7 linked regions of the Ovis aries genome follow. The protein of the gene in region 1 binds, or shares a complex with, the protein of each later gene. Links are inferred from orthologs where the notes say so. Each region holds a gene or a part of one and is shown in the gene's direction. Other genes may lie near its edges. The genes, in order: ACTL6B, SMARCD1, SMARCE1, SMARCD2, DPF3, SMARCC1 and DPF1.

Evidence for each region.
Region 2: ACTL6B (region 1) and SMARCD1 share a complex: the UniProt entries of both Homo sapiens proteins name them as parts of the BAF complex. The link is inferred for Ovis aries from reciprocal best matches to the Homo sapiens genes ACTL6B and SMARCD1.
Region 3: ACTL6B (region 1) and SMARCE1 share a complex: the UniProt entries of both Homo sapiens proteins name them as parts of the BAF complex. The link is inferred for Ovis aries from reciprocal best matches to the Homo sapiens genes ACTL6B and SMARCE1.
Region 4: ACTL6B (region 1) and SMARCD2 share a complex: the UniProt entries of both Homo sapiens proteins name them as parts of the BAF complex. The link is inferred for Ovis aries from reciprocal best matches to the Homo sapiens genes ACTL6B and SMARCD2.
Region 5: ACTL6B (region 1) and DPF3 share a complex: the UniProt entries of both Homo sapiens proteins name them as parts of the BAF complex. The link is inferred for Ovis aries from reciprocal best matches to the Homo sapiens genes ACTL6B and DPF3.
Region 6: ACTL6B (region 1) and SMARCC1 share a complex: the UniProt entries of both Homo sapiens proteins name them as parts of the BAF complex. The link is inferred for Ovis aries from reciprocal best matches to the Homo sapiens genes ACTL6B and SMARCC1.
Region 7: ACTL6B (region 1) and DPF1 share a complex: the UniProt entries of both Homo sapiens proteins name them as parts of the neuron-specific chromatin remodeling complex. The link is inferred for Ovis aries from reciprocal best matches to the Homo sapiens genes ACTL6B and DPF1.

What each region holds. Positions count from the first base shown.
Region 1 is NC_056077.1:36,361,508-36,365,007, forward strand, and holds the end of ACTL6B (actin-like protein 6B), read left to right. Parts: intron 1-14; coding exon 15-95; intron 96-201; coding exon 202-297; intron 298-490; coding exon 491-577; intron 578-2,190; exon of another isoform or gene 2,191-2,462; intron 2,463-3,184; coding exon of another isoform or gene 3,185-3,265; exon of another isoform or gene 3,266-3,288; coding exon 3,289-3,384; 3' UTR 3,385-3,398; downstream 3,399-3,500. UniProt on the Homo sapiens protein: Involved in transcriptional activation and repression of select genes by chromatin remodeling (alteration of DNA-nucleosome topology).
Region 2 is NC_056056.1:136,225,193-136,229,288, reverse strand, and holds the start of SMARCD1 (SWI/SNF-related matrix-associated actin-dependent regulator of chromatin subfamily D member 1), read left to right. Parts: upstream 1-1,296; 5' UTR 1,297-1,325; coding exon 1,326-1,502; intron 1,503-2,179; coding exon 2,180-2,367; intron 2,368-2,620; coding exon of another isoform or gene 2,621-2,636; coding exon 2,637-2,679; intron 2,680-2,774; coding exon 2,775-2,897; intron 2,898-3,363; coding exon 3,364-3,486; intron 3,487-4,096. UniProt on the Homo sapiens protein: Involved in transcriptional activation and repression of select genes by chromatin remodeling (alteration of DNA-nucleosome topology).
Region 3 is NC_056064.1:40,602,566-40,606,796, reverse strand, and holds the start of SMARCE1 (SWI/SNF-related matrix-associated actin-dependent regulator of chromatin subfamily E member 1), read left to right. Parts: upstream 1-1,431; 5' UTR 1,432-1,476; intron 1,477-3,678; 5' UTR 3,679-3,723; coding exon 3,724-3,730; intron 3,731-3,906; coding exon 3,907-3,950; intron 3,951-4,231. UniProt on the Homo sapiens protein: Involved in transcriptional activation and repression of select genes by chromatin remodeling (alteration of DNA-nucleosome topology).
Region 4 is NC_056064.1:47,807,701-47,811,073, reverse strand, and holds the end of SMARCD2 (SWI/SNF-related matrix-associated actin-dependent regulator of chromatin subfamily D member 2), read left to right. Parts: intron 1-175; coding exon 176-271; intron 272-410; coding exon 411-512; intron 513-659; coding exon 660-821; intron 822-951; coding exon 952-1,049; intron 1,050-1,208; coding exon 1,209-1,344; intron 1,345-1,504; coding exon 1,505-1,627; intron 1,628-1,745; coding exon 1,746-1,847; intron 1,848-1,938; coding exon 1,939-1,992; 3' UTR 1,993-2,873; downstream 2,874-3,373. Other genes in the region: PSMC5 (26S proteasome regulatory subunit 8), read right to left, coding at 2,981-3,034, 3,133-3,219, 3,309-3,373. UniProt on the Homo sapiens protein: Involved in transcriptional activation and repression of select genes by chromatin remodeling (alteration of DNA-nucleosome topology).
Region 5 is NC_056060.1:82,222,667-82,226,166, reverse strand, and holds part of DPF3 (zinc finger protein DPF3), read left to right. Parts: intron 1-2,686; coding exon 2,687-2,970; 3' UTR 2,971-3,500. UniProt on the Homo sapiens protein: Belongs to the neuron-specific chromatin remodeling complex (nBAF complex).
Region 6 is NC_056072.1:52,090,186-52,093,685, forward strand, and holds part of SMARCC1 (SWI/SNF complex subunit SMARCC1), read left to right. Parts: intron 1-29; coding exon 30-206; intron 207-2,762; coding exon 2,763-2,860; 3' UTR 2,861-3,500. UniProt on the Homo sapiens protein: Involved in transcriptional activation and repression of select genes by chromatin remodeling (alteration of DNA-nucleosome topology).
Region 7 is NC_056067.1:47,406,009-47,409,508, reverse strand, and holds part of DPF1 (zinc finger protein neuro-d4), read left to right. Parts: intron 1-645; coding exon 646-696; intron 697-788; coding exon 789-908; intron 909-1,965; coding exon 1,966-2,078; intron 2,079-2,617; coding exon 2,618-2,729; intron 2,730-2,820; coding exon 2,821-2,891; 3' UTR 2,892-3,500. UniProt on the Homo sapiens protein: May have an important role in developing neurons by participating in regulation of cell survival, possibly as a neurospecific transcription factor. Belongs to the neuron-specific chromatin remodeling complex (nBAF complex).

The sequences.
Region 1 (3,500 bases):
ACCTTTCTCCACAGGGCCTGTCGGGGAACACCATGTTAGGGGTGGGCCACGTGGTGACCACCAGCATCGGCATGTGCGACATTGACATTCGTCCGGTGAGGCCCAAGCCTGCCTCTGGGTGGAGGGGTCCAGGAGAAGTGGGGGCGTGGGTGCCAGGGCGGGGCTGTGCCCTGATCGCTCACTCTTCCTCCCTGCTCTCAGGGCCTCTACGGCAGTGTCATTGTCACCGGTGGGAACACGCTCCTGCAGGGCTTCACTGACAGGCTCAATCGAGAGCTTTCCCAGAAGACTCCACCGGTAGGAGCCCACCCTCGGCCAGGGCCCTGGGCCAGCCCCTCAGCACCAAGTCCTTCCTCCTTCCCACACATTGAGCCAGTATTCTGGCCACCAAAGCGGCTCCTTCCCGCTATGGCCTCGCCACTCCGAGCCCTGTCCCTTCCCACTTCCCAGAACCAGGTGTCTGCTTCCCCTAGCCCTTCTTTCTTCCCAGAGCATGAGGCTGAAGCTCATCGCCAGCAACAGCACCATGGAGCGCAAGTTCAGCCCCTGGATTGGGGGCTCCATCCTGGCCTCACTGGTGAGAGAGGAGGGCCCTGGCCTAGTGCTGAATGTGGGGTAGATCCAGACCGCCCCACCACCTTGCCTACCACCTCATTCGCTCATTGTTTATGAAAGGGCAGTCAGTGCTCCCAGAAAGGTGAATGCGATCTCAGGACACAAAGCAGGGAGTGGAGGACAGGAAGCTGGACAGGTTGGCTAGGATGAGATTGTGGTAGTCTGTGTGCCAGGGTGAGCCCCTAGAGGTTTGGGGCAAGGGGATCTGATGGCCACAGGCATGACTGGGAAGGTTATGTCCGACATGAGACTTTGGGGATGGGGGTATGAGCTGAATTCAAGGGGACCTTGGCGGGAGGCTCTTTCTATTGTCCTAGAGTCACGGGATGGGTAGCAGTGGGCATAGGGTGGTGAGCAAGGGACAAACCGAAGGCAGCAGTCAGGGTGGTTCTGTGGTGGTAGGTGGGGAATTCAGTCTGGAGCAGCTGCTGGGGCAGGGGCAAGACGTTGAGCAGAGAGGTAAAGATGCAGACTGCATCTGATGAGTGTCAGCTACACAGAGGGGGACAGCAGGGTCATGACAGGACAAGGATGATATCAGCTAGAGGCGGTGCCCCCAAAGGGACAGAAGCAAGGGTCAGAGTGACAGAAGACTGACCCCCCGAAGATAGCTCAGGGTTGCGAAAGTGTCAGTTGCACAGTCGTGGCAAGCCTCCTGCACGCCTGGACAGACAGCCCGACCTCATCCCTGCCTTCGTGCATGGGGACAGTCTGGAAGCCAAGACAGTCAAAGAGGAGGTCACCACAAAGTGTGGGGTGTTCCTTCAAAGGAAGACCTGATCTCATTCAGGCATCAGGAGGGGCCTCTAAGGAACCTTCAGGCTGAGATGGAAGAGTGAGAACTCAGGAGGCAAAGCAGGAGAGCGTGTGTGGCCCCAGGGGAGAGCCAGGCAAGGCCACAGGCAGGGGGTAGGTGCTGTGGGGCCAGAGTTGAGGAAGCTCACCTGGGCTTCCCTGGTGGCACAGATGGCAAAGAATCTGCCTGCAATGCGGGAGACCTAGGTTTGATCCCTGTGTTGGTAAGATCCCCTGGTGGAGAGCGTGGCAACCCATTCAAGTATTCTTGTCTGGAGAATCCCCGTGGACAGGGGAGCCTGGAAGGCTACAGTCCATGGAGTCACACAGAGTCAGACACGACTCAGCGACTAAGCACACAAGCTGGGCTACAGAGCAGAGAGTGGGCTGGAGAGGGCTACCGCGGTCTCCACTGTGACCCGGGGTCGCCAGCAGAGTGGATGTAGGGGAGAGAGGGTTGGGAGCTTATCAGAGGTCTGACTGAGAATGTGGGCACCGTTTGGATACGAGAGGTAAGAAGGAAAGGGGTCAAGGATGAGACCCAGGTAAAGAATCTGCCTGCAGTGCAGGAGACCCGGATTCGGTCCCTGGGTTGGGAAGATCCCCTGGAGAAGGAAATGGCGCCCCACTCCAGTATCCTTGCCTGGACAATCTCATGGACAGAGGAGCCTGGTGGGCTGCAGTCCATGGGTTTGCAAAGAGTCGGACATGATAGAGCGCCTAACACACTTACTTATTCAAAGTACTATCAGTACGTCAATTAGTATAAAATGTGAGACGTTTCACATCCTCTGGATTTATTTTCAATATCCAGTGCAGATTTGACACCGAGAGCACATTTCATCTTGGATTAGCTGCATTTCACGTGCTCGATAGCTCCATTTCAAGTGTTCCACGTGGCAAGGGGCCACTGGATTTGGACAGGGCAACTGTAGAAGGCGAGAAAGACCAAAGAAGCAGGTTTGAGGCAGGGCTGGGCGAAGATGGTGACAGCAGTCATGGATATGTTGACTGAGTGAGGTTCCAGGAGACACTGAGGACCAGGAAGCTGTCTGAAAGACAGTTGAGAATTTGGGTCGGGAACTCGGCAGGGAGCTCTGCATTGGAAACTGGAGATGATGGGAAGGGTGGGGCTTTGGCACAGTAAGCAGAAGTCAAGGGAGAGGTGACATGGTCCAGGAAGGTGTGTCCAGAAACAGGGACACACACACTGACTTTCAGGCAGACGCAAGTGATCATAGAGATGGCACAGTCTAAAGTGCCAGGGCTGGCGGACCCTATTTCAACAGGGGGTGGGGGGGTGGGGTGGGGTGCCAAAATAAAGACATCATCCCCACCTTGATGTTAGGTGGTGTCAGAATGGTGAGGAGGGTGGAGGAAAGATTTTTCTTGGGAAGGAGGGAGACTTGGCATGTAAGGCCTGATGGAGTGACGGGGTATCTGGTGGAGAGGGGATATGGAGTGTTGCAGCGCAGGTTCGCTGGCCTGCGGCTGGAAGGTCCACCTCCCAGCTCGAACCGCCCTGGGCTCCGAACTGACAGGTGCTCAGTAAATACTCAGTGAATGCATCGTTGATTGAACGGTATGAAGCGGGTATCCGCCTTCTGAATACGAAGGAGGGGACAGGGAGATGGGGCAAGTTGGTGGTTGCGGGGGGGTGGGGGGATGTGGGCTTGGGAGGGGGAAGATTCCGAACCTCCACGGGTGGAGCATAGGGAACCTGCTCTCCCTCCCTCCTGGCCTCCCTGACCGCCCTCCCGCCCCACCCACCCAGGGCACTTTCCAGCAAATGTGGATCTCCAAGCAGGAATATGAGGAGGGCGGGAAACAGTGCGTGGAGCGGAAGTGCCCCTGAGGGCGCCCCCTCCCCACCCACAGGCCGGCCCGCAGCGGTGGGGGAGGGAAAGCGAACGGAAGAAGACGGTTTCCCCCACCTCGGCTCTGCAAGCGCAGGATCGACAGCCACCCTCCTAACGTTCCCATCGGCCCCCTTTTGTTCTCCTCCCCACTTGTCCTCTTGATTGTGAAGTTTCTGGGTTAAAGGGAGTAAACATGTTTTAAGAAAAAAAAAAAAAGTTTGGCCTCTTTGG
Region 2 (4,096 bases), on another chromosome or scaffold:
AGGTACCGTTTGATAGTGGAACGAAAGAGACAGGCCTAGAGGGGACGTTGAAAGCTCTGCTATTCTGTTCCTCCTTTCCTCCCTTACTGAGAAACCAGCGAGATAGAGGACCTGCCATGCCCCTTCCATCAGGCACTCCTCCCAGGCCAGAGCCCTGCCCCTTCCCAGGCCTTCTCTGTCCAGCTGCCTCTCAGCCTCCAACCCCAGAACAAGACCTGTGGCAGGTCATCTGTGCATTGGCCTGGAGCTGGAGAGTGAGGCCATAGGATCTTTGGCAACTCTTGGTTCCCAGGAGTTCCTTAGAGATCAAACCTCTCCAGAGGGAAGCAGGAGCAAGGCCAAAGGGTGTGCAGTGGATGGGGAACAGCAGGCAGGGCTATGGGTGACGCATGCCTCTGGTCTAATAAACTGGGTTTTAACCATCTCCTCTTCAGTGTCGTTCTTCTCTTATTTGAATAGTATTTAGGCCTTCCCACTAAGTGTCTAGAGCTGAGCTTGGCTTGGGGCCACACAATCAGGGGAGGAGTAAGGAGGCGGGAGCAGGGGTGCTCTGGTCCTCCTGGGATGGGACAGGCTGACATCACACCAGGAATGGTTTGAACCACTGGGCAGGGAAAGAGGAAGAGGTCAAAGGCAACAAAGATCCCCAAAAGAAGTCCTAGCAGAAAGGATTCTTTGGCGAGGAGGAAGGGTCACACTTCGAAATAAACTTAAAATCTGGTAGCAGTTTAGGTTAAAAGTCAGGGGGAAAGCTGGGCTGAAGTTCCTGTAGTTATTGAGGCACTTTATGGAATGAGCCCCGGACTATGAACCGGAAGATCTGCATTATAGGTTTCGACTTTACTACTAACTTGGTTGACTTCACCAAGTCATTTACTGAGTTCACCTCGCCTGCTTGTAAAATGGAATAAACAGTGCGTTCTCTTCAGTGTGCTGGGCTTAGAGCAGGAAGAGAAGGAAAGGAAAAACGCACTGCGCCAAGATGAAGCATTTACTCCATCACCCTCGCGCAGGGATGGTGCAGTAGTCCCCCTTTCCAGGTCCTTGTCTCCCTCCGTCGGCCTGGGGGCGCCCTTTCGCATGGCCTCTCTGTCCCAGAGCTCTTCTCGATGGTTTTCCCTCCCGGATCATGAAAGCTGGAGGGAGTGGTCACACGCCTTTTCCGCTAGTTGCTCCCCTCTAGCCCACAGTCTCGCTGCCCTGAGCCTCCCGTGCCGGCGGGCCGGCCGGGCGGACAGGAGGGCGCACGGGGGGCGCGCGGGGGGGGGGCGGGGGGAGTTCCGGTTCCGGTTCTTTGTGCAGCTGCAGCAGCGGCTCCGGGAAAGATGGCGGCCCGGGCGGGTTTCCAGTCTGTGGCTCCGAGCGGCGGCGCCGGCGCCTCAGGAGGGGCGGGTGCGGCGGCTGCCCTGGGCCCGGGCGGGACACCGGGGCCTCCGGTGCGAATGGGCCCGGCGCCGGGTCAAGGGCTATACCGCTCCCCGATGCCTGGAGCGGCCTATCCGGTGAGTGGGGCAGGAGGAGGGGCGCGGGCCGGGGGCGGGGCCGAGCGGGGGCCTGGGAGTGACAGGGGTGGGGGGAGGAGGAGGAGGGACGCGCCTGGGAGGGATTCGGGCGCCGAGTTGGGGTCGGGGGAGACGCTGCGGGGAAGGGAAGGGAGGCTGTTAGCATCCCCACCTGCTCCTAGAGGCATTGTTTTCTTGGGGAGTCAGGATGTAAAACCAGGGTGGACGAAGTGAGGCCAGACGTGGGCCTGTGAGACCTTGAGTGCAAATGGACTAGGCAGGTCCAGTGCCCAGGAACACAGAAGGTGTAGCTGGCAAATTGAGGTCAGCTTCTGAGGAGATAGTGCCTGACAGTACTCTCTGAGTAAATATGGGACTAGAAGAGATGTCCAGTGTGCCAGATACAAAATAGACCGGGGGAGGGGGGCGATTTGAGTATAGTCTGGCTGTCTTTGCTTTGGGCCTATATTCTCCCGTGGAGTCAGAGCTGGAGCAGTGGAAGTTCCAATTACTTGGATATCAGAGAGGTAGAGGGCTCTCCTCCCACCCCACCATTGTGCTCCACCCCACCTTCCTGCCTTGTTTCATTCAAAGAACTCAGGCCTCCCCCACTTTCCCTTTCTTGGTGGGATTTGCAGGGGAAGCCATGACATCTCTAGGTCCTCTCCCCTCTGTAGAGACCAGGTATGCTACCAGGCAGCCGAATGACACCTCAGGGACCTTCCATGGGACCCCCTGGCTATGGGGGGAACCCTTCAGTCCGACCTGGCCTGGCCCAGTCAGGGATGGACCAGTCCCGCAAGAGACCTGCGCCTCAGCAGATCCAGCAGGTCCAGCAGCAGGCGGTCCAAAATCGGAACCACAAGTAAGATGATCCCAGGGTGGAGGGAGGGAGGGAGGAGGCCTGAGAGGACGCAGGTGCTGGGGTGCCTGAGCAGAGAAGCGCAGTGCCGTGTCAGCAGGCGGTACTCATTCTTGAAATAATTGCTTCGTGTTTGTTAGGGGCGGGGGTGTCTTTGATTTGAGACAAGCTTTGCAGTTTCTTCACTTTACTATAAATGGAGGTGCTGACAGCCTGTCTTCATGTTCTGGCTAGTTCCATCCCAACCTGATAACAGTATTTATTCCAAACAGTGCAAAAAAAAAGAAGATGGCTGACAAAATTCTACCTCAAAGGGTGAGTCCAGGGTATAGACCTTCTTGAGGTTGTGGTGAGTTGGAGAGTAGAGATGGTCAGCCTTAGATCCCAATGATATCTTTCTGTTCCCTAAGATTCGTGAACTGGTACCAGAATCCCAGGCCTATATGGATCTCTTGGCTTTTGAAAGGAAACTGGACCAGACTATCATGAGGAAACGGCTAGATATCCAGGAGGCCTTGAAACGTCCCATCAAGGTAACACAAGAGAGTACTAGGCAGAGAGCCAAAGGAGAGGACTCGGGAACCTTCAGCAGGCTTAGGATGAGAAATCAAAGGCATAGCACAGCTTTCCTTGGCATTTAAATTACATCTCTTCTGCCTACAAACTGAGAAGCGTAAGAACAGAACAGCAAAGGGGAAGGGGCTTTTGATAGTTCTTGCACCAGAAATATACCCTGTTGGTGTTTTTGCCGTAACTGCTCTGCCACCTTGGGAACCTGGCATCTTGCATGACTGTCTACTTGGCATCCCGGTGAATGCATTTGCACTGAGGCCCGTGGCCTGTGCTCCTCTTCTCATTGGAATCTGCATCCAGCCACCCCAGGGACTGGGTAGACAGTAAGCCAGTCTGTTAGGAGTCATTGTCGGGTTTGGGGGGACCCTTGTCTTCAACATCAAACCACTGAGGCCCCACTGTCAATCCTGTTTCTGCCTTCCTCAGCAAAAACGGAAGCTGCGAATTTTCATTTCTAACACTTTCAATCCGGCTAAGTCAGATGCTGAGGATGGGGAAGGGACGGTGGCTTCCTGGGAACTTCGGGTAGAAGGACGGCTCCTGGAGGATGTGAGTTCAAGGTCCACCGTGGTCGGTGTCCGGGGTGGGAGCTTCTGGGAACAAGCAGTATTGTCTGGTTGGCAGGAAGCCTGACTGGTGCTTACAGCTCCTGTTGGGAACAGCAGGGAGAGGGTCACTGTGTTCTCTGCACTAACAGACAATGGTTCTTTGTGTCTGGCTCCCACAGCTTGGCCCTCTCTGTGGTATCACATCGAGAACCTTATTGTGCTGGGATTTGATTTGTTGTTTACCTCTCTCCTGATGCTGCTAGCCATTGGATTTGGCAGTATCTGCAGATTTTTCAGTTATTTTTTTTCTTGTAAACCAAGTGAATTTGCACTTAACATTTGGGCCATGCTCTCTTCCCTGAGTCCTTGAGGTCCTTGATTTCTGCTGTGGCCTCTCCATCTTCCCAGCTCCTATTGGAAACAGCTCGCAGTTTATGTGGGATTGATTTCTGTGCCTGGCTCTTTGTTTTTTCATGGGGAACATCAGCTGCCAGGTGATAGCTTCCAACTTCCCACCCCAGAAGCTCCTTGGAGACGCTCACCTGCCATTCCCTTATACTCTCTGGCTCTCTATTTTTAGCTGTTCACAGGCAGGCCAGTGTGAACGCAGT
Region 3 (4,231 bases), on another chromosome or scaffold:
CTCTAATCATGAACATGAAAATATTGGAGGTGGAAGAACTGGACAGAGGGTCACTTGTCCCTGGCTTTGCATACTTCTGGAGATACCCTAGTCCCTGCTGGCACACCCAGGATGGTGGCTAAGGGTAGCTGAAGAATCAAGTCATTCTAAACGTCAACACCATTCTCAAGTGATTTCAGATCCTTCCCCTCTCTGCAGTGGCGCACGTCGGTCAAGTGTTTATGTATCCAAGGAGAGGCTGCTATCTAGTACATCAACGTGGTCATGATTTAGTGAAAAGAGTCCTGGACTAGACCATAGCCTGCCTCAATATAGATTTACTGAGCTTCTTACAATGGTTCAAGGCCTTACTGGGCACTGGCTATAGGAAGATGACCAATGCAGACCGCTGAATTTTTGCTTTCAAGGCTCTCATAGAGTACTGAGAATAACAAACACAGTCTGATACAATGTATTAGGTAAAGGCCATAATTGTTAATTTGGGAGGAGGAGGGGCGCGTGAGGCAGGGAGTTCCCGGAGGGCATCAGGGACAGAATTTGAGCTGGATCCGGAAGGACAGATGAGTTTAAACCCAAAAGTGAAGGACTGTCGTTCCTGGCAGAGGAAACCGAATGAGCCAAGGCGCTTTAGGACACAGACCCCTTGCCCAGCGCTGCAGGGACACACAACCGGGGGCAAGGAGATTTACATCTCCGGGCCTTGGCTCAGAAACCTGTGACAATTACACCAGCCTTGCGCTTGGGAACAGCTGGGAAGATCTGCGCTGCTTTCGCCAAAGCTCTTGCCCGCGGTTAAGGCAGGAAGCCCTGGGAGGCGCGCAGGAGGACGGAAACTGTAAACCCGGCTCTCCACGCCTCCATCCTCGGCTTGGTGAAGTATATACACTCCAGCTCCCAGAGAAAGAGTCAAGAAAAAGACCGGAAGGGAAAAAAAACCCAGAAACTCTCGGGGGCAGGGACGGGGGGCGTGCGCGGCCTGAGCCCGGCCGGGGTGGTGCGCGGGCCGCGCGGCCACAGAGGTTCCGGGGCTGGCGACCGGGCGCGCTCCCCGCCGCCTTCCGGCCCCGCGCGGGGAAGCTGAGGCCGCGCTCGCGCCCCCCCTCGGCTCAGCCTCGCGCCTCCCGCCGCGCCTCCCGTCCCCGCTCCGGCTCGCTGGGGGCCGCGCGGCCGGGCCTACCCGCGGCCGGGCCACCTCCTCCCTCTCCGGAGTGACGAATCGGCGCCCGGCTGGCAAAGTACTGACTTTCGGGGAGTTTTGAGGAGCGTATGGAGCCTGAAAAAAATCCTTGACTGTGCTAAACACCACCGCGTCCCCACGAGAACGCTTATTTTCCTGAAGAGAGTCGGGTGGGGCCTGGAAAGGAATTAAGAAGAGTGTTGAAAGTGCGAGCGCGGAAGCTCGGGACGCGAGGGGCGGGGCGTGCGCGGGACAAAGGGAAGCGAGGCCGGAGCTGCGGGCGCTTCTTCTGCCCGCGGGTGAGTGTTTCCGACTGGGCCCGGCTGGGTCGGGAGGGTGGAGAGGCGTGGGGTCCCGGCTTGGCTGGGGTTGCTGAGGGTTGCTGGGGTTCAGGCTTGGCCGCGGGACCAGGGCCGGGGGCCGGCTGCGGCCTCTTTGAGGCCTAGCGGAGCGAGGGTGGGGAGAGAGTCCCATCTGGGGCTCCTCTTGGGCGGCCAGAAGTGCCCCTTCCACTAACCCCACGGAAGTGGTCAAGGCGCTTCTGCATGCTCCTCTTCAGTAGAGTAGCTGGTAAAGTGCACCTACACATCAAACCAAACCGAATCGGTCTCAGAGGAAGCCCTTGGGGCAAGCTAAGCCCGTGGTCCTCACCCCCAGGAAGATGGTTTCCCCTTGCCCAGGCAGCGATCTGAGGACTCACGGTGTGGCTTGGAGTGAAAAGCGAAAGCTGGGCAACAGTTTGGCCTGGGTTTGAAACCCAGCTCTGACACTTCCTGACTCTGTGTCTTGAGCCAAGTTACTTATACTGAACGAGACTCCTTTTTTCCCTCTGTAAAATGGCAATAGCAGTACACACCTCGTTGGTAGTGTGACTGTTAAACCAGATGGTGTGAAAGTAGTAAGCCTGTCCCGTATAAGGTATTCAACAAATAACTTCTCCAGGATTTTATGCCAGGCACCGGAGATGCATACAGTGGTGGACAATTGTACGAGATCACTCTTGAAATTTATGGTATAGCAAAAGAGACCAGTAATTTTAGAGTGTTAATAAAATGTGACACACCTGGGAGCTTGTGGCAGATATTATCAGGGCCCCCCACAGCAAGGCCTACTGGATGTTGACAGCCCACCCAAGCTTGAGCAGGAAGGAAATCTGCATTAGACTCTGGTGTCCTGCATGTACCTTAAGGAGAGAGGGAGACCCAGGTTGGGCCATTGAGAAAATAAATGATTTCTTTCTTTCCACACCAGGCCTCTTACTCATAATGCTCCAGAAATGCCCTTAAAATACAAAACAGGAGCAAAAAAAAAATCATGTTTGTTTCTCATAATGTCGGATGAAAATACTCTAGTAGTCATAGAAGTTATTTGCCTTTTTTGTGAAAATGAATGTTCATCTCTTTGTACACATGGTGTGTAATGTATAGTGAGGTAAGGAACAAGTTCACGTGTGTGTGGTCATGTCCTGAGCTAGTGTTACTAGGACTGAAGTTGGTAAAAATTGAGCTAGGTACTGGGACAGCAATAATGAACTAGCTGGTCCCTGTCTCCATTCAGCCCCCATATTAGCAGGTGTAATATGATATTGATCTGTGTAAATTGGAGTACAAATGAGGAAACATTTAATTTTGTACAGATAGGTCCAGAAGTCTCCATTGAGGAGATATATTTTGAGTTGAGCTAAGAAAGATCAATAAGAGTTTTTTCCAGTAGACTCTCGAAATTTATTCCCAGCGGTTATGAAGCTGTTTACCATCATGTTGTTTTTTAGTGGCTCAGTTGTGTCTGACTCTTGCGACCCCATGGACTATAGGGTACCAGGCTCCTCTCTCCATGGGATTCCCCAAGGGAGAATACTGGAGTGGGTTCCCATTTCCTTCTCCAGGAGATCTTCCCAACCCCGGGATTGAACTCAAGTCTTCTGCGTTGGCAGGCGGGTTCTTTTACCGCTGAGCCACCAGGGAAGCTCCATTACTCCTATAAGAGAATGTGAAGTTTCTTGTCACACCAGTTACCTTTTCCACTGCCTTCAGGAGTAAAATGCTGTTTTACTAGAAAGAAGTTGTTATCCTAAAAGGAAGGCAGAGCTGTGGCTGGTCATGGAGCTGTCAGTGTCTGGTAGGCCTTGTTGAGGTAGGCCCCAATAATACATCATATTCTTTTGTCATTGTATTTTTACCGATTTGATTAAATGTTTACATGGCATCAGCGAAACGTTTTCCATACAAGAGGTGGCTCAGTATCAAAAAAAAACAAAAACTTGCAAGTACATGTCTAATTTTACTTTTTAATATCCCCTGTCATTTGTTTTAGTCATTTAATTCTGATCAACTGAGTGACCTAAAGAACTAGTAAAATATTTAAAAGGCTTGATTACTAGAAGATAATGTAATTTTACAAAGAAATATCAAACTACCCTATTCTTTAGAAAAACATTCTCTTATGCTTGCTGAGTTTTGATTATCTTTATTTTTCTTTTTTTTTCCTTTTTTTTATTTTAGTGTCTCAGATTCATTCTTAAGGAACTGAGAACTTAATCTTCCAAAATGTCAAGTAAGTTTCATTTTTTATATTTATCAATCTATATTAATAAGAGACTAATGCCCTAGCAAATGGGAATTCCAAAATACTCTCATTTTTTTTTCTTCAAAACAGGACCATTGGTAGTTTTGTTGCATAGTATTATATCTCAGTTGTTTACAAGAAGTTATTTATTTTCTTTCAAACAGAAAGACCATCTTATGCCCCACCTCCCACCCCAGCTCCTGCAACAGTAAGTTTTAATTTTCTTGTTAATGTAATAGCCAAGTCTGGCCTTGATACAAAAACCCAGATGTCTTCCAGTGACAGTCACTCAATCATTACAGCAACAGGATGAAAAATTCAGCTAAAAAACAGCACTTCCTACTAAATAAAATAACTCTGCATCTTACCTTGAACCAACCCCAACATTTAAAGAAACATACTACTGAAATGCCAACCTCCTATGCTCAGTTCTTTTTTTAATTAGAAATAAGTGGCAAGTTTAACACTTTTCTTGTTCATCTCTATTAA
Region 4 (3,373 bases), on another chromosome or scaffold:
CTAGGGACCCTTTCTGTGCCTCAGGTCTCACTTTTCCCTGCTTCTTTCAGGGCCTGAGAATCCTCAGTACCCTGAGCTTTAGGACTGAAACAATATTCCTCTGTTCGGGGCTTAGTATGTGGCTTAGGCTTGAACCTTCAATGGCACCCCTGTCTCACCCCCTTTACATCCCCAGCCTAGTAAACAGAAGCGGAAGTTTTCTTCCTTCTTTAAGAGCCTCGTCATCGAGCTGGACAAGGAACTGTATGGGCCAGACAACCACCTGGTAGAGGTGAGAGCGGGCCTGGGGCTTGGGACCACAGGGTGCCGTGCCCGGCGGGCAGAGGAATGGCCTCAGTCCCCTTGCAGGGCCAGGTGCGTATGTTGCCCGCCCCTTTGGTGATGAGCTTGACTCCCCTTCCTCCTGCCAGTGGCACCGGATGCCCACCACCCAGGAGACAGACGGCTTCCAGGTGAAACGGCCTGGAGACCTGAACGTCAAGTGCACCCTCCTGCTCATGCTGGATCATCAGGTGACGAGTGCCCTGAGGCCACGTCTGGGCTCACGGGGACTGTCATCTGGGGCGGGGGCAGGTGCCCATTGGAAACCCTTCCTGTCCCTGCCCTAGCCTGCTTTGGGTTTTTTTTTCCCTCCTCTGACTCCCGTCTGTCCATGCCAGCCCCCACAGTACAAGCTGGACCCCCGCCTGGCGAGGCTGCTGGGGGTGCACACGCAGACGAGGGCTGCCATCATGCAGGCCCTGTGGCTCTACATCAAACACAACCAGCTGCAGGACGGCCACGAGCGCGAGTACATCAACTGCAACCGCTACTTCCGCCAGGTAAGCGGGCACACCGCCCCCTCCCCTTCCAGCCCCCGCCCGCCTTGCCTGTGGCGCCACACCGCCCCGGGACGGGCCACTTCCCCATGTGCCCACCAGGGCGTCACCGACCCTCTGGCGCCCTCCCCAGATCTTCAGCTGTGGCCGACTACGTTTCTCTGAGATTCCCATGAAGCTGGCAGGGTTGCTGCAGCATCCAGACCCGATTGTCATCAACCACGTCATCAGGTAAACGGGAAGGGGGAGGAACGCTGCTCTCAGGGGTTTGCCTTTGACTTCAATTAAAGCCAAAGCAAAGCAGCACGTTTGGTTTCTTGCTCCCTGGGTGTGTGTGGTCTTGCCCCGGGCGGGCGGGAGGGAAGTAGCTCTCTCCCGTGTGCCGTGTAGCGTGGACCCTAACGACCAGAAGAAGACAGCCTGTTACGACATTGACGTGGAGGTGGATGACCCGCTCAAGGCCCAGATGAGCAATTTTCTGGCCTCTACCACCAATCAGCAGGAGATCGCCTCCCTTGATGTCAAGGTGGGCCCCAACCTCCTCTGGGCCCCCAGTGAGCATGGGCAGGTGTCGGGCATTTCCATTTATATAGCACCTTGGGATGGGACCTGAGTCCTTTCGGGTTGGGGCTGGAAGCAGACCTTGTCGGGGTGGGAGCCAGTCTGACACGTACCCCTTTGCCCAGATCCACGAGACTATTGAGTCCATCAACCAGCTGAAGACCCAGAGGGATTTCATGCTCAGTTTTAGCACTGACCCCCAGGACTTCATCCAGGAGTGGCTCCGTTCCCAGCGCCGGGACCTCAAGGTGTGCCCCTTTTTCCTGAGGGTGATCCCACGTTAAGCTCTGGGGGTTCTGTCCCCAGCACCGTTCTTCTGGCTCAGGGGTGGGAATTGCGTTCAGCTCTGCTCCTGGTGCTCTACAGATCATCACTGATGTGACTGGGAACCCGGAGGAGGAGAGACGAGCAGCTTTCTACCACCAGCCCTGGGCCCAGGAAGCAGTAGGGAGGCACATCTTTGCCAAGGTGAGGCGGCTCTGCCCTGGCTGGCCTGGAGGGCATACCGGAGGGCAGGGTGGGCAGCCGGGCCTGAGCCGCTGGTCTGTCCCTGCTCCAGGTGCAGCAGCGAAGGCAGGAACTGGAACAGGTGCTGGGAATCCGCCTGACCTAACTGCTCAGGGACCCCTTCCTTTCTTCCCAGCCTGGAGCCACGCCCTCAGCCTGGAAGGGGACCACCCTCTGGGGCGCAGACACGTAGGATAACGAGGGGGTGAGGGGCATCTCCAGTTACCCTCGGCTCCCCGGCTTTAGTTTCTTAAGTGTAGTGATAGGATTCCTTGTTGCTTGGTCCTCCAAAGCCTTCTTACTTACACATTGGCTTTAACTGGGTTCACGAGAGGCCTCCTGTGCCCCCTGCAGGCAGGCCTGAGAAGGACCTGGAGGCTCTGCTTTGACATTTTAACCGAGACCTTTTGGAACCAGAGGCCCCTGGCTTTGCTTGTTTACAGACCCCCTTGGGGCGAGTGTCCACGCTGGCTCCAGGGAGCGGGGTGAGGAAGAGGAGCATGGCTCCCTTTCTTCCTAGCCTTTCCAAACCAAAGTTCTTTGCCATTCCTACCAGCCCAGCCTTGCTGCTGGTAATTTCCTTTCCTTCGGGTTATTTGCACTATTTGTGGAGCAGGATTTTCTATGCGGGAGCCACTTTTTTTATGGGGGTGTGTTGGGGGTTTTCAGGGAGCCCTACTTGGGGGGTCCCTTATTTTCTTTTCTCAATCTATGCAAGCGGCTCTGGCCGCCATCATCTCCTGCGATGCCAGAGGGCTGTCACCCCAGTTCTTGGGCCCAGGGTAACGCCTCCTAGGGAGAGGGCACCCTAATTCTCTGGCGTGGCCTGAGGCGTGGGTGTGTGTGTGCTCGGTGGAGGGCAGTGGGAGATGGGGAGGACTATTGTTGCTCTTTGGAGCCTGTTAAGGAGGGTGGGCCGAGGGCTTGGCAAACGCCACTTCTGGCAGGTTTGGAAATTTCCAAATAAATCTTTGTTTATTGGTGGTACCTAGACCTGGTGATTGAACAGTGCAGCTGCTGATTAACAGACTCGAGTCCTCAAGGTCCTGACCGGTAGAGCTTTATTTGAGGGATCCACACAAAGGACGTCTGCCTCACTTCCATAGTTTCTTGATGGACATGTTTTTCTCACTGTCCTTTTGCATGACCTGGAGAGAGAACATTTGAGTTAGAGACCCAGTGAACACGTGCCCGACCCCACTGCTCGAGTCACCACCAGCAAAGGCAGAAAGGCGTGGCCCTGTACCTTAGCTACTGCCATCTCGAAGTCCTCCTGCGTGACGTGCACTCGGCGCTCCCGCAGTGCATACATGCCAGCCTCGGTGCACACGCCCTGAGCAGGGAAAGAAGGGGGAGATGCCGCTGTGCCCTGAACCCAGTGCTTCCTGCCTCTGCCCCCTTTCCCTTGGGCACTCCTGTTACCTTCACTTCAGCCCCTGACGCTCCCGGCATGAGCTCAGCAATTTTTCTCAGGTTGATCCCCCGGG
Region 5 (3,500 bases), on another chromosome or scaffold:
ACACGTGTTTATGCACGTATATGTATTGTTCTATGCAATCTTAGCACATACATAACTACCACTGCAATCAAGGTTCAGAACTGCTTCACCATCCAAAGTTTCCCTCTTGCGGAAAGAATGCTCTTTTAAAACCAAAAAAGGGGATATATGTAAACGTATAGCTGATTCACTTTGCTGTACAGCAAAAACTAACACAACCCTGTAAAACAGCAATACGCCAATAAAATTTTTTAAAAAATGAAAAACCTATTAGAAAAATGCACAGAGTAATCTAGTCACTGCCTTGCCCACAAGGCTTTAATGATTTTAAAGCCCCATATCCTTAATGAGGGGCATAACGTGCCCGGGTAGTCTGACTCTAGCTCGTCTCTGGGTGCTTCTCACCCACCTCCCCTCCTGCTTTGCTTGCGAGCCTCTGCCTACTGGCTTTTACCTTCCTTTGAGTTTGCCCACTTCCTCCACGGCTCAGTGCCTTGCCCCTCCATGCACCATCCTCCACACACGGAATCCTCTCCCTCACCCATCCAGCTAATCTCCTCATCTGCCAGGTGTCAACTCCAAGATCTTTCTCAGAGAAGGTTTCCTTGACATCTCAGACTAGATACTAACCTCCTGTGATTTTTCATTGCCAATTATGATTTTCCTTCATGGTACTTATCACACAGCTGTAAGTAAATAGGTATGTGTGTAGTTTATTAATTTGAGTTCTCTCTGACCAGACTAGAGGGATCTGGAGGTAGGGGTGTGTGTGGTCTTGCTCACCAGTGTATCTTTTCTGTCTGGGACCATGACTGCTCTAGCAGATGTCCAATAAATCCTTGTTCATGAACAGTTACTATAAGCTGGCTGGGTGTGGCTGGGTGTACACTGGGGCTGTGAAACTGGGCAACGACAACCTGCTAATCTAGGTATCTGCTCCATGAATTAATCATCAAAGTTCCTGGGTGTCCTGCCTAAGAACATGGGCATCTCTGGCGCAGACCACTCAGAATCTCAAGCTGGTGTATTCTCTCCTATTCCCATCCCACTACTCTGTGTGAGAGAGCAGGGTAGGGAACAACTCTGGCCAGCATCCTTAGATATTTGAGATGCCATCAGGAATATCAGCTGGATGTTCATCCAAGCTTTTAATGTAAGATCTCTCTCTCTCCCTTGGGTCACTGGTATGGTGTTGCTTTGAGAAAGTTATCGGTTCAGGGCCATGGGGGTTTCTACCTTGGATGGCCTCTGAGAAGTCCTAGAAAAGCTTTTAGTCTCCTCCTGTCCTCAATGCTCCCACCTGCTGTTTGCAAAGTGTCCCCAGCTCCCCTCAACATGAGTCCCCACTCTCACTCTCAGAGATAGCTCGGTGTGGTGTGCATTGCTGGGGCCCCAGATCTGAAGGGTTTGTCTGTTGACTGAATGGACAGAATGTCCCCCAAAGGACCATGATGGAACCAGCTTTGCAAGGATATGGAAAAGAGGAAATGGGGGCCTCCTGCTGAGTTGTGACTTTGCCAAGGAGTGGTGGTACCATGTGGATCTTGACTCTTTGTGGAGGACACTGGGTTGGTAGAACTGCCTCTAATTGGAGGCCCATCTATACTCTTCTCCTTTGGAAGCTCACAATCCCTCATGTGATAGAGGCCAAGCAGTGCATGATATGGTGGATTTGGTGGAGTTGGAAGCCCTGGAGAAGGGTGAACCCTCAGCAACAGGCAAAACTGTCCATTCTTTGGTGACGGTGTCAGTAACAGGCTTCACCCTGAGTGCTCTGCCTTCTGACTCATAGCCCTGAGTGACCTGGGGACCTCGTCCAAGTTTCCCGTCCCTGTCAGACAGAAGGTCAAAGGCGTCACATTCTGTGGCTCACAGCTGTTCTCTCGCTGCTGGCCTCTGTCTTTTGGGTGAGCTGTAACTGAGGGTAGAGCCCAGCCCTGCAGGCCAGGCCTCTGGTGTTGGACCACTGGGGCTGGGTGCTGTAAGGTCACATTAATGTCCCTCCCTGCTCTTGCTATTGGCTTGGCTAACATGATATTTGGGATGAAGAGAAGAGCTCAGGACAGACCTGGACATCCTTGCAATGATGCTCTACTTCTCCAGCCTCCCTCCTGTTCCTGTGCAGGGTGTGGACTTCTGCTGGTCCCCTGGTCTTGGGCACGGAGGGACACTTTAGGTGGCAGTGCAGAGCCTTCCAGTGCCCCTGAGCTCTGTCCCTGGGAGCCTCACACGCTCTCTCTGGTCTCTTCCCCTGTGCCCTGAGGCAGCATGAACAACTTTGCAGATCAGAAGGATCAACTCTAAATAGCTCTTATGTTGCTCCCACCACCGCTGATGCTGGGGAGATGCTGTTGCTGACTCTCATCGCGTCGCCTTGTGCTGTGTGACTTCCTTTCTCATTCTCTCTGATCACCACTTTCTGTCCTCATCAACTGGTTACACTTCTGAGGGGACGTGGCTCTTAGGACAGAGGACTTGGATGACATCTCTCCCCAGCAAAGGGTTAATCCTCATGCCTCTCTTTGGGCATTGATCTGCTGTAACTGTGGGTGGTGGTGAAGAGGGCGGGTAGGGCCCCATCCAGGCCCCCAGTTTGCTTCCTAACACATGCTACCCCACCCTCCCTCCAAGTGAGGCATAGCGTTGTGTCGAGGGGGTGACAGGTCAGACCCTCTGGCCTTAATGCTGCCATTTCTGCCTCCTCCAGGTCACCCCACCTGCCTGCAGTTCACCCTGAACATGACCGAGGCTGTCAAGACCTACAAGTGGCAGTGCATAGAATGCAAGTCCTGCATCCTCTGTGGGACCTCGGAGAATGATGTGAGTGTGGGCTTCCCAAGTGGGAGGAGAAATCCAAGGAGCTGGGAGTCCTTTGAGGATGGAGAGGAAGGTGGGATTCTCATCCCTGGACTCCTGGGGAAAATATGCATCAGGACCCTTCCCCCCTTGACTTTTGCCTTGAGGACCCTTGGGACCCTTGTGCTACAATGACCTTGGCTACTCTTTGTGTCTTTAGAAACAGGTGCAGGGGGTAATGGCCAGAGACTGCCTTGCTGGCCTCCAGCCCTCAAGGGGTCGGTGGTAGACAGTGGTGCCCATCGCTTACTGTTGGGATGTGCTTGGCTTTTTACACCACATTCTGGAATGTGTCATCTCATTTGGTCTAAATATTAAGCATAATGAATGCAAAATTTAAAAAAAACACCTTTTTATGGAAAATTTCAAACATATACAAAGATAGAGAAAATAATGAGACTTGTGTACCCCATCATCAGCTTCAACAATGATCAGTACATGTCCAATCTTGTAAATGTTGCCACCTCTTTTGCATGAAATTATAATCCTAGTCATAATATCATTTCACCTGACACTATTCCATACATATCTCAAAAAGATAAGGACTACTTTTTAAAAGATAGTGAATATATTTTTTACAATTTGAAAACATATAAGGATTTACTTTTTAACAAAAATAACCAAAATATTAACATAGATTTAAGAAATCAATAATTCCATAATAT
Region 6 (3,500 bases), on another chromosome or scaffold:
ACCTTAGTACTCTGACTCTCCCTCCACAGGTCAGATACCAGGCCCAGGTTCCATGATGCCTGGGCAGCCCATGCCAGGCCGCATGATGCCCACCGTTGCAGCCAGCATCCACCCCCCTGGGAGTGGCCCCACCCCTCCTGGTATGCCTCCAATCCCAGGAAACATCTTAGGACCCCGGGTACCCCTCACGGCACCTAACGGCATGTGTAAGTACCCAGGTGGGGGGAGGCACTACCCTCGGGACTTTTGGGGAGAGCTGTACACAAGGGAGGCAAGCACCGTTTGTTCCCTCTGGGGTGTGACAGATCCCTGGACAGGATGGCCTGTGAGGGGCGCTTCTGAAACCTGGGCTTTGGTCATTGCGCTTCAGCATCCCTGGTGGACAGGTACCCAGGTGGTGAGCACAGAGTGCTCCCAGTTAGTCAGGAGCCTTCCATAGCCTTCGTGGATGCATTCGTGACACCAAGGGCTCTGGCAAGGCCAAGGGCACACCTCACCCATGCCTGTTTGAGGCTATCTAATTTGAATCTGAGTCGATACACAGAACTACTGGTAGTTATTTTCTGTACAGGAGCCTTTTATGGATTCAGGATTTAAAAGAGGTAAGTGTAAAGAAAAGAATAGAGTCTGGTTTAGGGCAAGAATAATAATAAGTTTTTGTCCAATATATTGGTAGTGGCTGCTTAGACTTAGAAAAGAGTATTCAGGGCTGTGTTGAGAAGGAGTTTGAAGTCTTAGCGGGCTCCATCGAGCGGGCACATATGCTGATGAACAGTGTCTGTGGCAGTGTGCAAAACCAGCTCGGTTTTGCCATGGAACCCTTGTTCTGCTCCAACCCTGGCCTCCAAAGGGGTGCATCAGAGCCTGGCCTGCCCTCTTACCCTGTGGACCATGGTAATGATTCCAAAATGCAGCTGACAGTGGCCATGTACCCCGCCACATCTGTGATCCCAGGTCCTTTTAGAGGAGGACCTGGGTTCTCATGAGGTGGAGTCAGCCCCTGTTTGTTTATAGTAATACAGCTTATAATAAAATGATAATGTATTTATAATACAAAAACATAAAGTAATAATAATGAATTTATAATACAATACAGAGAGCTAGGATGCAGAGGTATTCCTGGCCTCCAGGAGCTTTAGTTGGGAAAATAAAACATGAACAAATGGATAGTAGTGTAGGATTTACCGTAAGTTACACAAGGCTATTGAGTGGCTTGAGCTCACTATAGTTCTCTGGGAGACTTCCTAGGGCCAGGAGACAAGTGCCATCAACACAGGTGCATCTCCTTTCTCATTGGACTCCTAGGAACAAGGACAGATTTAGGTGCACAGAAGAAAGACAGCACTTGAGCCAGGTCAGTACAGGATCATTGTTGAGAAACGAGGGACTTCCTTGGTGGTCCAGTGGCTAATACTGCGCTCCCAGTGCACGGGGCCCGGGTTTGATCCCTGGTCAGGGAACTAGATCCCACATGCTGCAACTAATGATCCTGCATGCAACTAATGCATGATCCTGCAGCTAATGATCCGGTACAACCAAATAAATAAAAAAAACTTTTTTTTTTAAGCGATCTTTGTTGTTACATCAAGGATCAGAGATCATAGTCTAGTGCGTACCTCTTTTCCTAGCCTTGCTGCCCCACAGGCAGTGTAAAAATGTGCTGGCTGACTGGGAGGGTTGACCACGCTGCCATCCCCGTTGCAAACATAATATCATTGGTCTTTACCACTGTCCTGTCCTGCTGATAACACCTGATTTGTATACATGATTCCATCCTGAAGGGCCCTCAGTGCAGTACCTTGAGGGTGTGGAATGTTTGGGGTGCTCCCCATCACTTCCTGCCCCAGATGAATTTCAGGGATCCTGAGCTGCTGATTTGGCTTCAGGGCATTGGGCAGGCCTCATCAGGCAAGTCACTTCCCTCTTCAGGCCTTACTTTGCTCCCCTGAAAGGTGACACTAGGGAGTAAATCGGTGGGCTTCAAAACGCTTTGAAGAGCCTTAGCAATTGGGTGGACACCTCCTGAGGGGAAGGTTGGATGAATTAGCTGGTAAGCAAGGAGGTGCTTTAATTGTTTAATTCGTTTTCATCCCTGGCAAAATCTTGAAGTTTTTAAAACCCTGGATTGAAGTATCTCTATGGTTGCTTTGTACACTAAAGCAGTCAAAGTAGAAATAGGAAAGAGCTCCTTTCCTAATTGTTCCCTTCAGGACCTGACCTAGTTTTGGCCAAAAATTTAAAGACTACAGTTCAGGAGTTGCGGGGCCTCTCCAGGCTATCCAGCTTGTTGGCCGCTGCCTCAAGTCAATCTCTGTGACCCTGGTGGAGACAGTTCATAAAAGCCAGCAGTTTCTGATAGGCAGTTTCGTCCCCAGCTAGGCTAGGCACTCTGAGAGAACGCAAAGAAGACACAGAACTTGTCCAGGAAGGAGCTTATCATTTAACTGAAGAGAGAGAATTAGCAGTGAGAACCATTAAGATAATGATAAAATCAAAATATAATTAAGTTCTGCAAAGGTCTGGAGGGATTGAGAGTGGGGCGGACTCAGACACCTCCGCACCCCCGAGCCGCGTGGGTCAGGGGAGCCACACAGGTGGTGACGTGGAGGTTCAGGTGGACCGCCCCATGTAGCCCTCAGCAGCAGCCGTGCCTCACAGGCCATAAAGAAACTTCCTTTATAAGTCCTGTTTCTCTGCATGGGCTCTTGCCCAGGCCCCTTGTGTTTCCGGCAATGACAAGTTCCTTTTGGATGTGTTTGCAGATCCCCCTCCGCCGCAGCAGCAGCCACCACCTCCAGCACCTGCGGACGGAGGCCCTCCACCTCCCGCTCCTGGCCCACCAGCCTCAGCTGCACCGTAGCCCGAAAGACACAGGGGACGTCCGCGCCCAGTGCCCCCAGCTGGAGTGGGGATGACAAGACTTGTGTTCCTCCGCTTCCTTGGGTTTCTTTCAGGAGTTTTCTTCTCACAGCCCCAAGCACGCACCCTGACTTTTCCCCATTCCTCTTGCCACCCCTCTCCGTGCTCTGACACCTGCTGTGTTAGTCCTCCTCCAGCACTCAAGGGGAAGCCACTGCTGCCAGTGTGCCCTGGTCGCCCTGAAATACCTGGCGTCTCCCTGACCCGCTGTGGGGTATGCTGACAGTGTGTCTGCAGGTCCTGTCAACGTTAGTGGTCTATGTCTGTATCATTTTTTGCTCTCCTGCAGTTTTGTTCTGTTTTTGCTTTGTCTTATGCTTATATGGATAATGCTTTATAATCATTATCACTTTTCTTTTTTTTTCCTTTTGGTCATTATTGCTTTAAAGGAGAGCATCCTAAGTTAATAGGAACCAAAAAATATTGATGGGCAGAGGGGATAGCCAGAGGGGACAAACCTTAAGGCATTGTAAGTGACCTTATTTCTGCTTATCTGAGCTAAGAATGGTGCTGATGGTGAAGTTTCATGAGACTTTTGCCACACATGGACGCACCAAAATTTAAAGAGATGGGGAAAAGTG
Region 7 (3,500 bases), on another chromosome or scaffold:
AGGGGGGTGATAGATGACTCCCTCCCTCCCTGCCTCCCTTCCTCCCTTCTCTGCTGAGCTTCGGCCAAGGGGCAGGGGCCGTGGCCTGGGAACCCTTGGCATCCGCCCATGCCAATCCAGTGCCAACCTTGACAGCTGAGGGACGGGGGAAGGCTTGGGGAGAGGCTCTGCCAGTGGAGGAACCATCCTCCCACCCATTCCTCGGTGGGAGAGAGCAGTCTCTTCATCCCACCCCTACTACACACCCAGGCACCTCTGTGTTCAGAATTTTCCTTCTGAGTGTCTGTTTCCATACCAGATCGTGGCCAGTGGCCTCTACCTAATTTTCATTTAGTTGGGGCTTCGTTGGGGGTGGCTGTCTGGCAGAAGTGCGTACGGGCAGGGGAAGCAGGGGGCTTGTACCTGCCAAGTTTTTACCTAGTAAAGAGGACCTGTCAGTCGTTTTCAGAGAGTTGCAAGGTCCTGATGAGAATTACCTGGGCTCCCTGCAACTCTCTTTTGCTGCTGGATGCAGCTTAGGGTAGCGGCTCCCTCTCCTCACCTCCTCCATGCCTGGACAAGGGGTCCACCCCTGGGGCCGAGGCCGTGGGCAGGGTGGAGCCTTGCCTGTGGTGAGAGCCCCTCTCTCTGTCCCCCTACCCCCAGAGTTTTACAAAGAATTGGCCTGGGTCCCTGAGTCACAGAGGAAACACACAGGTAGGGACGCCTCCCTCTGCCCCTACTTCTGTAGCAGCCTTGGACTGAGGGTCCCTTCCTGCCCCCGCCAACCCCTGCCTGCTGTCTTTCAGCCAAGAAGGCGCCTGACGGCACTGTCATCCCTAACGGCTACTGCGACTTCTGCCTGGGGGGCTCCAAGAAGACAGGGTGTCCTGAGGACCTCATCTCCTGTGCTGACTGTGGGCGATCAGGTGATGCCCCCCACCTGAGGCTTCTGGGGGCTGGGGTGGAGAGACTCCAGATCTGGAGGGCAGGAAGCAGAGGAGAGAGAATTGGGGGGATGCAGAGCATCCTGGTGGATGCAGAGCTGACTCAACTGCTGAGGACTGTGGGGAGCTCAGTGGGGTCAGGGAGGCTCTGGGAACAATGGAACGCGGTTGTCATGACATTGTGGGCACCGGCAGGTGCCTGTCTGGCATGCGGAACAGTGAAAGATGGCTGCCAAAACACCAGGGGGTAGTGGGCTGTGATAGCGAGTAACGGATTGCCACTGCCTGGATGCTGTGGACAACAGAGGGCGCTTGCCGTGGAGTTGTGGTTAATAGAATGTGGTTTCCCAAGGTGGACTTGTGGGTAAGAGACTGTGGTTGCTCAGCACGGTGGCTAATGAATTGTGGTTGTCATGGTATTAAGGGTAGTGAAATACGGTTGTCATGGCGATTGGGTGTCCTGGTGGCCTGGGGTCGTGGCTGTGGGTCTGCGCTCGGGTGGTGGGACAACCAGAAGGTTGACACGCTCCACAGTCACGTTGGTAACGTTGTGGTTGCTGTGGCGTTGTGTGTAATGGCCTTGGGCTGCAGGGAACCAGGGTGTGGGGACCCCTCTGTGGAAGGCGGTTGCCATGGCATCGTGGCTGGGAGACTGTGGTTGCCACGTTCTGCGGTTAAGGGAACGGGTTGGCCACTCTGCTGTGGCTAATGGAATGTGGCTGTCTCAGCACAGCGGTTCACAGAACGTGGCTGCCCCGGTGTTGTGGGTGGTAGAAAGTGGTTGCCACAGCACCCTGGGTAATGGAATGCGGTTGCCATGGTGTTCTGGGGAGCAGAGTGTGGTTGCCATGGTGGCCGGGTAGGAGACTGGTGGCCAGGGCGGCGCTGCCTGCAGAACGGGCGCGGGGCACCGTGGGCTGGGCGGGGTCAGGCCTTGTGAGCCAGGGGGTGGGGGCTGAGCCCCCAGGGGCTTCCCCAGGGTCAGCAGCCACCAGGGGCGCCACAGCCCCTAACCGCATCCCTGCCCCTCGGCCCCCAGGACACCCCTCGTGTTTACAGTTCACGGTGAACATGACGGCAGCCGTGCGCACCTACCGCTGGCAATGCATCGAGTGCAAGTCCTGCAGCCTGTGCGGCACCTCGGAAAACGACGTGAGTACCCGTCCGCTCCTCCCCGGGACCTGCCCGCGCAGCCTCCCCGCCTGGCACCGCCCCCTCCGCCAGCTGGGCCTAAGCCTTTCCCTGGAGCGCCCTCCCTCGTGAACACCAGTTAACCTGTATTATTATTATTGTTAGTGGCCATTAATTGAACCCGGCACTTAACACTCTTCACTCTCTGAGTGCTCCCAACCGCCCTGAGGTAGGTGCTCTTGTTCCCACTTCACAGAGAAGACACCGCGCTCAGAGAGGGGAATACACTTGCCCGAGGTCACCCAGCTAGGGACGTGGTTCTGCTGGGACCTGAACCCATGGCTTCCAGACCATCTCAGTGTCCCACAGAATCCTATAAAACCCAAACTACAAACCACAAACTGATGGTCCTCAAGGGCGTTTCGTGTGGCCCAGCAGGGTTTTGCAAAGATGACCTTCTCAGAGCCCTTTGTGTCTTGCAAGAAGACACCTCCACCAGCCCCTTTGACCTGGCCCCTGCCCCCGCCCCCCACCCCGGTTTCTGGTGCCCGTGCCCCCAGGGTGCCAGCTGGGCGGGTCTCACCCCCCAGGACCAGCTGCTGTTTTGTGACGACTGCGATCGGGGTTACCACATGTACTGCCTGAGTCCTCCCATGGCAGAGCCCCCGGAAGGTGAGAGAGAGGAGGGTCTGACATGGGGGTGGGGGTGGGGGCAGCCCTGCCCAAACCTGACCCAACTCCCTGTCCTCTGCCCGCCCCACAGGGAGCTGGAGTTGTCACCTCTGTCTTCGGCACCTGAAAGAGAAGGCGTCTGCCTACATCACCCTCACCTAGGCCTGGCTCTGGCTCGCCCGGACCTCTGGGGTGATGCCTGCCTACCTGCCTCTCCTCTCAGAGCTCCTCCACTCTCTCCCCATCCTTAATGCCCCACAGTGGGAGGGGTGGGGGGAGCCAGGGAGGGGGCTGGGCCACCCCCTCCCCTCTGTGCAAGTGGAATGTTTGCCCTGTGGGTTGGTGGGCCCAGCAGGGTCCTCTCCCTTCCTCCCTCCTTCCTCACCCCCTTGGCAAATGGGTACCAGGGCCTTCTGCTCCCCTCAAAGCCATACCCCGCCTCTAGGTGGGCACGAGGGGTGGTGGATGCCGGCTGGGGGCATGGACAAAGCCTTTTTCTAAAGAAAAAGTCAAAAACTTAAAAAAAAAAAAAGAAAGAAATTAATATATAACAAAGAGTCCTATAAGGTCTGGCTGGGTGGAGGGGGCACTGCTGAGCGCATCTACTGGGCACCAGTCTAGCCAGCGTCCTGCCTGGCGGCCCCTCCCCCCAGCCCCTGGAGTTGCAGCTGTCCCACCTCCCCACCCAAGACGGGCACCATCCCCTCCTTGTGCCCTGGGCCGGTGGGGGGGGGGGATGTGGTGTCCACCCCTCACCCCCTCTCGGTGCCC